Drosophila melanogaster: one gene and its partner. The protein of the gene in region 1 interacts with the protein of each later gene in a pairwise test. Each region holds a gene or a part of one and is shown on either strand. Other genes may lie near its edges. The genes, in order: eIF4E4 and mxt.

Evidence for each region.
Region 2: the proteins of eIF4E4 (region 1) and mxt interact in a two-hybrid assay, tested with the Drosophila melanogaster proteins (2 studies listed by BioGRID).

Annotation. Positions count from the first base shown.
Region 1 is NT_037436.4:6,663,655-6,667,509, reverse strand, and holds eIF4E4 (eukaryotic translation initiation factor 4E4), read left to right. Parts: upstream 1-1,868; 5' UTR 1,869-2,002; coding exon 2,003-2,343; intron 2,344-2,395; coding exon 2,396-2,495; intron 2,496-2,575; coding exon 2,576-2,663; intron 2,664-2,918; coding exon 2,919-3,079; 3' UTR 3,080-3,286; downstream 3,287-3,855. Other genes in the region: Grl65a (gustatory receptor-like 65a), read left to right, coding at 1-662, 726-872.
Region 2 is NT_033779.5:4,841,951-4,849,393, forward strand, and holds mxt (mextli), read right to left. Parts: upstream 5,346-7,443; 5' UTR 5,289-5,345; exon of another isoform or gene 5,214-5,288; intron 4,815-5,213; exon of another isoform or gene 4,766-4,814; intron 4,401-4,765; exon of another isoform or gene 4,329-4,400; intron 4,267-4,328; 5' UTR 4,094-4,266; coding exon 3,692-4,093; intron 3,626-3,691; coding exon 3,304-3,625; intron 3,209-3,303; coding exon 3,137-3,208; intron 2,823-3,136; coding exon 2,762-2,822; intron 2,697-2,761; coding exon 2,219-2,696; intron 2,162-2,218; coding exon 1,768-2,161; intron 1,709-1,767; coding exon 1,110-1,708; 3' UTR 634-1,109; downstream 1-633. Other genes in the region: CG11927 (uncharacterized protein), read left to right, coding at 5,905-7,374. UniProt on the Drosophila melanogaster protein: Plays a role in promoting translation.

The DNA of each region.
Region 1 (3,855 bases):
ACCAAATGCTGAGAATCATGAGGCAGGTGAATCTAATGGCCAGGCACCCGAATCTGTTTCGCCTGAAACATTTGCTGCTCCTTCTTTTGGCCCTGCAAAATCTTTTAAGATCACTGAATACGATAGTGGGAATAAGTAACCACTCTGCTGAAGCTTATGACTCTTTTCTTAATAGCGTTATCCTATTAATTATACTGGCCGTCCTGCTGAGCTTTCTTCTTCAGATCACCATCAATATTTGCCTCTTTGTAGTGCTCATTGCCACGTATAGCGAACTACACCATTGCACTCGACGAATCTCAAATGATATGGATAAGCTCAGACTTCATTCTGTCCATGAAAGTGGTCAATTTATGGTGTTGGTAAAACAACTTCAAGGAATCACTGAAAAATTAATTCGACTGCGTCAAAATGTCTTTCATATTACCGTCAGAATCATACGGCATTTCCGATTTCATTGGCTGTGTGCTATTATCTACGGATTATTACCATTCTTTAGTTTAACAGCTAAAGATCAAAATGGTTTTAACTTCCTCATCATTTCCGCATTGAACATAATATTCCAGTGGACTATTTTTGCGATTCTTTCTCGTGAATCAAGAATCACCCGGAGTTTATGCACTTTTCACTTGACCAATTACCATAAGGAAACTGCTAGAACGGTGAGTAAAACTATATAATATAAACTAGTAGGTTTTTTTTTTGAGTTTTCTTTTGAAGTACAGATTGATGAATTACTACATCAGGAAATTTGGGAACGTATCACAGTCACCATATACGGCAATACACTCGACACGAAATTGCTGTTCAAACTGCTATCCATTAGTGCCTTTTGCGCGTTTGTTAACCGACTGGAGTACTTGCACATCTAGTGTCCTCAATAGATCCTGCCATTTAACTGTCAAATTAAAGTCGGAGCAGTCCTTGCTCAATTTCGATATCGTCGTTTTGTCTATTATTAGCATTCTGGGCTGTCATGTTATCGCAACTGTTGTGCACCAATGTCAATTGCACAAGTCAAAAACTGCCTCATAGATGACTTTCGAGATACTTTGCCGGCAATTACGTAGCTGTTTCATTGTTCCACCATTTCGAACAAGCTTCATAATATTTTCACTTTTATGGCAGGCAACATAAAAGACGACAGCTTTGGCAATAGCAACAACATCATCATTATCAACACCATCAAAGCCCGGAAAATTTCACCTTCTGTGACTCCACCCCCCCTCCCAACGCCGTGCCTTTCGTCTCCTTTTGTCCCCCTCAATTGTCGTAAAATCATAGGAAAAAAGAAAGGAGCCAACGGAGGCGAAAAGTGTGAGTGCGTAAATTTCTCTCTGGACTCGGAGTCGCTCAAGTGTCCTTCCATTCTGTGTCATAAAATTAACGCTTTATATGAACGAAAGCATAAGGCGCTCGATTTTTATCACCAAGGCCAACAAGATGGCCATAAACGAATCAGGAACATGGAAACGCAGAGGAAAAAAATAGGCAGCTAAGTATCTACAAATGAAAGTGTAATTACAAAAGATTTATACTGATTTTTAAATAAACTTATAGCTAAATCTATATATAAATAAAAATGTATATTTTCCCAATTACAACCCACTTCGTACTGTTATTTTCTGGCAGTGCATAAGCCCATAGCGAACCTTATGAGAACATAAAGAGTTAAGAGTTGAATTAGAAGCAGAAGAAACTGGGACCGAAGTACGTTGGGTAGTAAGAGAGGTGGTCCAAAGAGTGCCTAATTATTTACGTGCAATGAAAGTTATGAATTGGGGAACAGGTCAAGTCGGCGAGGGTAAAAATACCCCCGAACCTCCCTATGCCTTTACTGTCTGTGTGAATGGCTTCAGTCTGGTTTCGTAGCCAGCCCCTTATACACATTCTCGTGTTGTGGCTGTGAAATCGTTTTTCCCAGGTGATCTGAAATTTTATTAGCATCCATTGTTATAAATTTGAATCAGTATAAAAGATCATTCGCCAAATACACTCAACCATGCTGACGACCCAGCAGACCGAATTCAAGATGATGGACAACGGCACCGAGACGCTGGCCGATTCTCCTTCGAGTTCCAGCGAGGATCTGAAAACGCTTTCGGATATGGATATTCGCAAGCCCGTAACGGAGATTGTTGATTTGCGCCTTAAGCATCCGCTAGAGAACACTTGGACACTGTGGTACTTGGAGAATGATCGCAGCAAGAACTGGGAGGACATGCAGAACGAGATTACTAGCTTTGACATGGTCGAGGACTTCTGGAGTCTCTACAATCACATTAAGCAGCCATCTGAGATTAGAGTGGGCAGCGATTATTCTTTGTTCAAGAAGGGCATTCAGTAAGATTGGCTAGATTTATATACATGATTACCGATTTCCTATTCATTGCAGGCCAATGTGGGAGGATGATGCGAACAAGTTCGGCGGCCGTTGGGTCATCAATATGGGGCGTGGCTCCAAAGCGGAGCTCGACAAGCTTTGGTTAGATGTGGTAAGTAGCTATTGGAGCTTTGTGTCCATCGCCTGTCATATCAGTTGCAACTGCACAACCTCTTTTCTGCCCACTGACAGCTACTCATACTGATTGGCGAGGCCTTTGAAAACACCGAGGAAGTCTGCGGCGCCGTTATCAACTTGCGCGGGAAGAGCAACAAAATTTGTGAGTATTACTGAAAAAAAAAAGATGTGCATGTGCATTAAAAAAGCTGGTTACAAATATTATATTTTACTAAAAACATTACACATGTTTTGTTTACTTCGCCAACCTATAAATATTAAGTGGTATACACCTAGGTTGGCTCTGTTTTTTTTTTTTAAACATAGTTTACACATTGTAGTTTTGTAGTGTACTCAGCTTAAGTAGCCAGTGGACACCACCATGACAACTACTAACCCAGCGCCTTTACTCCGCAAGCGATTTGGACCGCCAACGGGCACAACGAGCTGGCCGTCATGGAGATTGGACTCAAGTTACGCGACCTGCTCGTCCTGCCGCCCCACCAACTGCAGTACCAGCTGCACAAGGACACTATGTGCAAGCAGGGATCGGTGATCAAAGCGGTTTATTGCGTGTAAGCCGTCTCCGTTTTGGATGCCACCCACCACTCCATCCACCAACCACCCACATTTCCATGGCCGCTTATGCCTCTGAATGCTGTTTCCAGCGCGTGTATCCGAAAAATATAAAAAAAAAAATGTATCTTGAAACAGAACTGGTTTTATGAATTTGACCATGTTAAAAATTGCAAAGAAAGATGTAAATACATAGTGTTGTGAATGCATATACGACGAGCCATCATTAAATTCCCCAGTTTTTAAGTCCCAAGGAGCTCTTTTTATGCCGCTAGTTGGACCCTTTATGCTCCACAAAATGTTATGCAAACATATGCCGCACCAGAGCGCAAATAAAATGGTTTATATACACTTGCAGTTTGTACTTTTGGCCGGGCCAGCTAGAAGTGCACAGTGACTGCAAAAGATAAACGTCCACTTGGTTCGCTTGGCTGGCCGAGCGAAAAACAAAAGACCGAAAAGGGTCAACAATGGCCACGGCGGATTGTCCGTTTTAGCGAGTGCCACAGTACCCGGCGCTGAATCTCTGGGATCTCTGGTATCTGGAACTGGCGTCGAGGGCTTCCAAAATGGAGACAATTGAATTTTGATGAAAGGCCGAACGAAACGCCGTTGCCTCGCGCAGTATTAAAATTCATGCTATGAGCTTCGAGTTCGAGTTTGAAAAGAGACTCTTAATTTGCGTGTAAAAAATGTTATTTTAATAATTTAAAAAAAAACCTATTAAGTACGTTTTTAAAGTATCTTTGGTATTCTAGTATCTATAACCATTATCGAAT
Region 2 (7,443 bases), on another chromosome or scaffold:
AATATTCCGGATTCCCATTTCGATTGAACTTAACTAAGAGCTTCGTTGAATTTTCTAGTTATTTTGAAATTTTTGATTATTTCGTTGGTAATTTCTAGGGTTAGTTTGCATATTTTTCAATATTCTTTTTTTTTTGTTTGTTTTGTTTTGGTCGTTTTGAGTTTGCGATTGTTAGATGTGGCCATGGCCAAAAGCATTGAAGCATACTGCAGCTCCGTCTGGGAGCAGGCACTTCACCCCGGGACACTCTATATTGTCAGTTCGAGCCGCTCGATTGATGGCTTTATTCGTCCAGAGTCTCGACCTCATCGGCAGCCACAATGTCTCGCTTGGCGGCCGTCTTAATGCTGGCCAGATACTTATCACCATCGAAGCGCTGGCTCTCATCCTGCAGATCCTGTTGTCGAACAAAGAAATGGTTTAATATCTGATTTCAAAGTAACATTGACACGCAAGCTATCCAGGGATGAACGAACATATATACATACGGAACAGTTTAGTAACTAAGTTAGCCATCTGGAGTGGTGGTTAGGTGGTGATGTTATGATGCTTCGGTGGTAAAACACAAGTTACAATTTATAATTTACAATGTGTGGGGTGTGTGGTGGTGTAAGTTAAACCCAGCCAAGCTTTGTTACGGACTTTGAAAGTCCTGTTTATTAGTTAATATAAATCGTATTGATTACAGATTTGTAAATGTTGGTTTGAATTCGAGAATGTTTGTTTGTTAGCGGTTAAGCGGTTTCAACCGCCTTTCCAGCTTATCCTTAGCGACGACTTAATCTGTTTCACAGCCAAAACACAGATTCTCCCTATAGTTACATTTTAATTTCAATGCATTATATGTATTGTTACCTCTAAGACTAGCGATCGGTTTGGTTTCGATGGTATGTCGTTAATCTAATGACTGGATGATGATAATGATAATGATGTATTGACTTGATTCATTATCAAGTTCTTCACGCTTCACCTTTTCTTAATGATAAGTTATATAAAATTAAAACAGCAAAAATACTGACATGAAAAGAAAAGCCTATCTGTGACTGAGATTCAATAATACGTATTCCGGCTACGTAAAATTAAATTAAATTAAATGAAATTAAATGAAATTACACATAAACGCGGTTATTATTCGATTCTGTTTCGCACAGTGCCAATGAAAACTCATCGTCCTCGCAGTAGCGTTGAAAAATTGCCTTCACTTGTGATGTTTGATAGCTAGACTGGCGATGCTTTCCTTGTGTTGCCACCGATTGACCCACAGTATTAGTTATGATTTGCAATTGCTTGTTATACAGGTTTCGATCGGACACGGCCGATGTTTTGGGAAGGCGACGGTTCTCGCGTTCGGCGAAGATCCCTTTTGATTGCTTGTTAGTGACGGTTAGGGGATTGTTGTCTGCCGACGCATCGACAGCAGCTAGTCCAACGGCGGTGCTGATGATATTTGTGTTCGGGGAGGAGGTTATTGCATTTAAAGCCCACGGATGTGTTATTACTGATGAGTTAGGTGCACTGGCGATGATAGCATCGGGGATGTTCGAAGAGTAAGCCGTACGGCCAAGTGAGCCATCGAACGGCGAAATTACCTTGTTGCGCAGAATCGAGGGCGCTGTCTCCTGCATCTTTTGCCAGTCGGTGGGCAGGGTCCACGAGTGCGGACTCATGGAGTAGTAGAGCAAGTGTTCAATATCGTAAGAAACGCGAGCTGTAATTTAAGTTTAAGCATCAAAGACTTGGTTAAGCATAAAAGGATTGTAATCTTACATGCATTGCTTTTCAAGGAATTGGTGCCTGCCAAATCGTCCAAGTCACCCTTTTCCCGAGCGCCCTTGGTCTCCGGCGTGGACTCCTTGCGCGAAAAGTGGCTGCGACGCGATCTGGCCAGTCCATTCTGATTGCTAGTCGATGATCCTCCATTGCTGGGCTCAGCGAACACCTCGTCGTCGCCTTCACCATTGTTGTTCGCTGACGAGGAAACAACGCAATTCAGTCCAATGCCACTGTCCGTGCCGGGCAGCCAAAATTGCGGCGGCCCGGCTCCGGGAAGCGGAGTCGATGGCGTGGTCACCAGCGAAGTGCCGTCGAAGGCGGCGCCAGCCTCAATGGATGCCAGAAACTCCGAGCTGCTAAAATAGTCATCGAGCACGAGTTTGGCCACCTTGAAATCGCAGGGGATTTAACAAATTTCACAATTGAAAACTTCAACATTACTCACGCGCACTAGTTCGCAGCAGTCGCCGGTGATCTTGATCAGGTGCTGGCCCACGTTGACCGTGAACTTGTATTCACCTACGGAAGCATCGTTTGTGGAATATGAGTGCATTAGCAGCTGTTGATTGGGACGCAAGACTTTACCGGCAGCGGCTGTCGCCTGAGCATGTGCCGCCGCTGCTGCTGCGGCGGCTACTGCGGCGACCTGCTGCTGCTGTTGGTGCTGCAGGTGATGCGTTTGGTGGTGCATCTGCTGCGAGATCTGCTGTGCAGCAGCTGTGGCGGTCATGAAGTTTTGGGCCGAGTTAAAGCTTAGCCGGTTGGCCAAACTGCTTCCGGTTGGCGTTCTTGGTTGCACAATGGCGTCGTCCGAGTTGGACGAGTTAAGCGAGGAGCAGGATCCTCCAACGGCAGGAGCGGGTTCCAGGCGCACCGGCGAGGCGTTCCGACGAATGGTGTCCTCCATAAGTTGTTTGGCATAGCTGTCGTAGAATTAAAACATTTTGACATAAAGGTAAATTAGCTTTAATTTATTTACTTTACTCACTTAATTTTATCCTCAGCTGGACCAGTAATCTGCACCAAACGCTCCTTGGCACCCGGGTTGACTAATGAAAACAAGGCATTCATAATTGTTCTCGAAAAAAGCATTTATATTTATGAAAAATAATTGGGATGCGAAAACATTTAAAAACAAAATGCATATATACAGTATGAAAATATGTGATTTCAAAATGCCTTTAACGATCAATTTTGGCTTAATGTGGTGTCGTTGAATGGACAAAATCTGGAACATGCGTATTTATAATTTCTATTAGTAAATTTTGTAGAAGCCACCGGGCATTAATTGATTTAAATAAGCGTGCCAAATGAAATGGGGGTGCGGTGAGGATCACAATTAAAACCAGCTCTCTGGAGTTACCTCTTTGAAACGATATAATGGTTTCGCTTAGCTCCTCGATCATGTGCACGCGACGCCCCTTGATGCCCATTACTTTTTGGCCACGGGAATGGAGGAATACATTATTGAAAACCATTTCTGTAGATCTGTGTGCTCCAGAACACTCCTCAGCTGATTGAAAAACTTACCTTTGCCGGAGTCAGCATTGCGAATCACGACCTCGTCCTTGCAGTACGTCTTGCCAGGAATCTTGGTCGGTTTGGGGAACTTGCCCGAATTACGAATGACCTCACCGGGCGGCAGCAGCATGTGCTGCTGGTTGGATGTGCCCACGGCCGCAATGGCCGCAGCTTGGGCGGCTGCAGCTGCAGATGCTGCATTGAAGACGGCGGCAGCGGCGGCTGCGGCTCCATCGTTAACGCCACCAACACCGCCGCTGACGCCGAATGTGGGGGAGGTGCTGAAGGCGCCAGGCTGCACGCCGGCATCGTACTGGTATTCCGAAGGCAGCTGCAAAGCAACGATACATATTTGATCGTTTTCCAAAGTGAGATCGATTCTATGTACTCTACTCACCTCCACGTTGGAGATCTGCTGCTTGGACTTGTAGTACGCGATTGTGTCGTCATTGTCCCAGCTCTTGGCGCGCAGCTCGATGAGTTCGAGCAGCTTGAGGCGCGTCGTTATATTCAGCCGTTCGTCCTGCGAAGCGTTGCGGAAAACGACGAAGGCCCGGTCCAGTGTATCCTTGGACACCGCCTCCAGTTGCGGTCCATGCACCCGGAGGTTGTGCAGGAGCAGCGTGATCGATTCCGGCGTGGTGTTGCACGACTGAAGACCGACGGTCACGTTGTCTATCAACTGGATTAGCTCCTCGATCACCAGGTAGCTGTTCTTCAACGACGATCGCGATTGTGTCTTCAACGGGCGTGGCGCCTCAATGTTTTTCACGGCGCGTCCCAGGTGTGTGTGAGCCATTCTCGGGATTCGTTGGATTCGATATCGTCTCGTGAAGAAGTCTTAAGGTTGTCCCGCCTGGTGTCCGGATCTGCTGATTTCAGTCTATATGGTCTGCTAACTTATTCGTTCGTTTAAATGTTGTTGAAGAATTGATCAAAAATGAATCGTAGAAGCTGTTTCCGCACCTCCCCCTGTAAACACAAGAAAGGTTAGTTATCGATCAAATGTATTGTTTACATTAAAACTATTGTACTATTTGGATACATGCTTTCAGCTGCTAGGATGATCAAAGCCGACTATATTGCATTAGAACTTGGGAGTAATGGCCGAGAGCATGGACAACCAAAAGGTTTCTTAGGATATGGAGATTGGCCTCGTTTCCGACCGAATCTCGAATATTGCGACGCAAAGCTCTCGTATATCTTAACGATGTGCACGTTTGATAAGCGGCTTTAGCTGATAACACCGCGATTTATCTATAGTTTAGTGGCCAAATTAACCCATTGGCGCCTTCTGAGCTTCTGGCTTCTGCTCAGTTAATCGGTGCGAAGTTCCAAAAGCAAAATATGTAAATAATTGATGAAAATTGTTGGCATATATCGAATGGGAACGACAAACGGACGACCATTTGTGTTATTTCAGTTCGACTTTCGCTCCATGCGAACAACTCATTTCTTTTTTAAATATCACTTACTGCCGCTGCAGCAACAGCAGCAGCAGCAACAACAACAAGAACAAACAAACATGGGCAACTAAAACACAGCTAACAGAAATATTACAAAAAACTGAAATTGTCCGTGGGAGGGAGAAAGAGAGAGGCGATCGCTCTATTGAATCATATGTCGAGAATAGCAACAACAAGAATGGCCTCTGCCGACGTCGACGATGGCAGCGCAGTTGACGACCGTGTTGGGCGTAGAACAAAAAGGAAGTTAACTTTCAGGAAACAGGGTCTATATATCCATATATTGCATCCGTTTTCGGCCAAAATTCTCTGTGAAATTGAGTAATATTTTAATGGCACTGGCCGCTTTTCGTTAAAATAAGCAAACTACGCGTTTTGCTGGCGACCGACTTTGCACTCTCGTTCTAGTTTCAACACTTTTGATGTTTAGTCTTCGTCGCGCTTATTATTTACTTTAATGGCCGATTGAAACGTCTCTTAAAACGGTGTATTTTGGATCGTAATTTCCAATAAATTACTAGAGCTTACCAAAACCAAAATCTCTGCGACTGCGACTAAAATCGTTTTTTACGGTGGGTGTTGCCACCTGATCGAACACGTTAGATTTTAGAGATGCGCCACAGCTATCCAGACCAGTTCACGTAAAGCGCAGTCAAAAAGCTCACATCAATTTCGCATCACAGATGTGTTCGTATTAAAATTTAAATTTAAATATGAAATAAATGTTACGAAATCAGACACTTATCGCTGATAACCAACAATTCACTATGGTATCTGGACGCTGGGCAATTACTATTCCCCGCCGGTTGTGTCTGCATGGGATCGAAAATGTTAAATATATATTATATTACGTTGGGCATTAATATATCGCTTACTAGTTAACAAATGAAGATTTACTGGTATAGCGGAAAGTTTAGAGAATACATTTGGAAACTACTGTTCTTTTTTAAGAACAACAGGACTCTTAAGAAAATACTTCAGGGGAAACTCCCTAAAATTTTAAGCACGAAAATATCGATAGAAAACATCGGCTGTTCCTTCAATTTGTTGTTATTGAAATTTTTGTTTGCCATCGCTAAGCAAAACTCAAATAAAATTAAGTTGATATATTTATAAAGTGTATTCCCACTCTCTAAGGTGCGAGATGTCTGAAAACGGGGACGTGGAGGCGGCACCAGAGGATTCCAAGGAAGTCGTTCCGGAGTCCGGCAAAGATGAGCCTGAAACTAAGCCGCTGAAAATGTCGTTTGCAGATTGGAAGAAATGCAAGGATGCACTGAAACCGGATACCAAAAGCGGACTACAACGGAGCAACAATAACAATAGTAACAACAACAACAATAACAACAACGGCAACGGACGTAAACATTGGTCTTCGAATAGCAACAATGCCTTTCATGGAGGCGGAGGTCCGCAAAGCTACCAGGACAGGAACTATCCTCCGATGAATCGACCGCCTCCACTTCCTATGCAGCTGATGAACATGGGCTTTGGAGGCAATTTTGGGCCTGGACCCGGACAATGCGGTCCCCCCATGGGGCCAATGGGACCAGGAGGACCTCGCGGTCCCATAAGCAATATGGGTCCCTGTGGTCCCATGAGCAGTATGGGCCCCGGTGGTCCAGTGGGCTTTGGAGGACCACGTGGTTCTGGGCCCCGCCGGAATCACAATCACCGACCTCTGCAGCCGCCTCCGTTCTGGGAGGACATGATGTCGCCACAACATAGACCACCACCAATCCAACCGCCCATGCCCAAGTGCCCCAGCTTGTGGAATCTGGTACCCAAGGAGCAGGGAGCACAAAACAATCGCAGCAATCCAAACCAGAATAACAAGAAATTCAAGGTAAACCATCGCGGCAACAGTGACAAAGATACGAGGCTTATGCCTCCGCCCCCACCGCCAAGCAATGGCAACAATTCGCCGTCAAACGGGGAAGCGCAGCCCTCCAAGAAGCCCAAGCGCTGCGGCACATTTGTCCAGGTCAATGGCCAATGGATACAGAAGCCAGAGGCACCACCGCCGCTCGAGGATGCACCGCCTGGTACGAAGGAGGAGCGCCAGCGCCAGTGGAAGGAGTACCGTATGGCCATGAAGCCCTTTAAAAACCGTGAGTTCCACAACTGGAAGCGAACGGTGCAGCGTTTGGGGAAGCTGCCGCGCGACCAGCTGGACGAGCAGCAACTGGAACGACTACAGAAGGCCGAGGAGTATATAGTTGCGCACAAGGCGATGCTGACGGTGAAGCATGCAGAGCGCTGGGTGGAGCAGGACAAGAATGAAAAGGGCCAAGTGTTCGTGCGCAAGTCATCCAGCATCGGCTCGTGGGACATGTCCAAGGAGAGGCCGCCGAATGGTTTTGCGTCGATGCATGATTTCAAGAAGCAGCAAATGGATACGTTCTTCGGTCCCGGCCGTGCCATCAAAGGCGGTACGGATCTCTCCATCATTGGTACCTCAGCGCCGCCTCCGCCGCCACCTGACACCCCACCACAGATTACCAACTACTGGCCCTCTGGAAGTTCCAACAACACGGGGTCCAACTCCAATCCCTCGTATTTCAGCCACTACAGCAACAACTTTGTCAAGGGTGCCACTCTGCTGCCGCCCTAGAATAGCTATCCGAAACTAACCCAGGTCGTGGGTTTTCTTAAACACTATCAAATAGCATGGCACATGCAC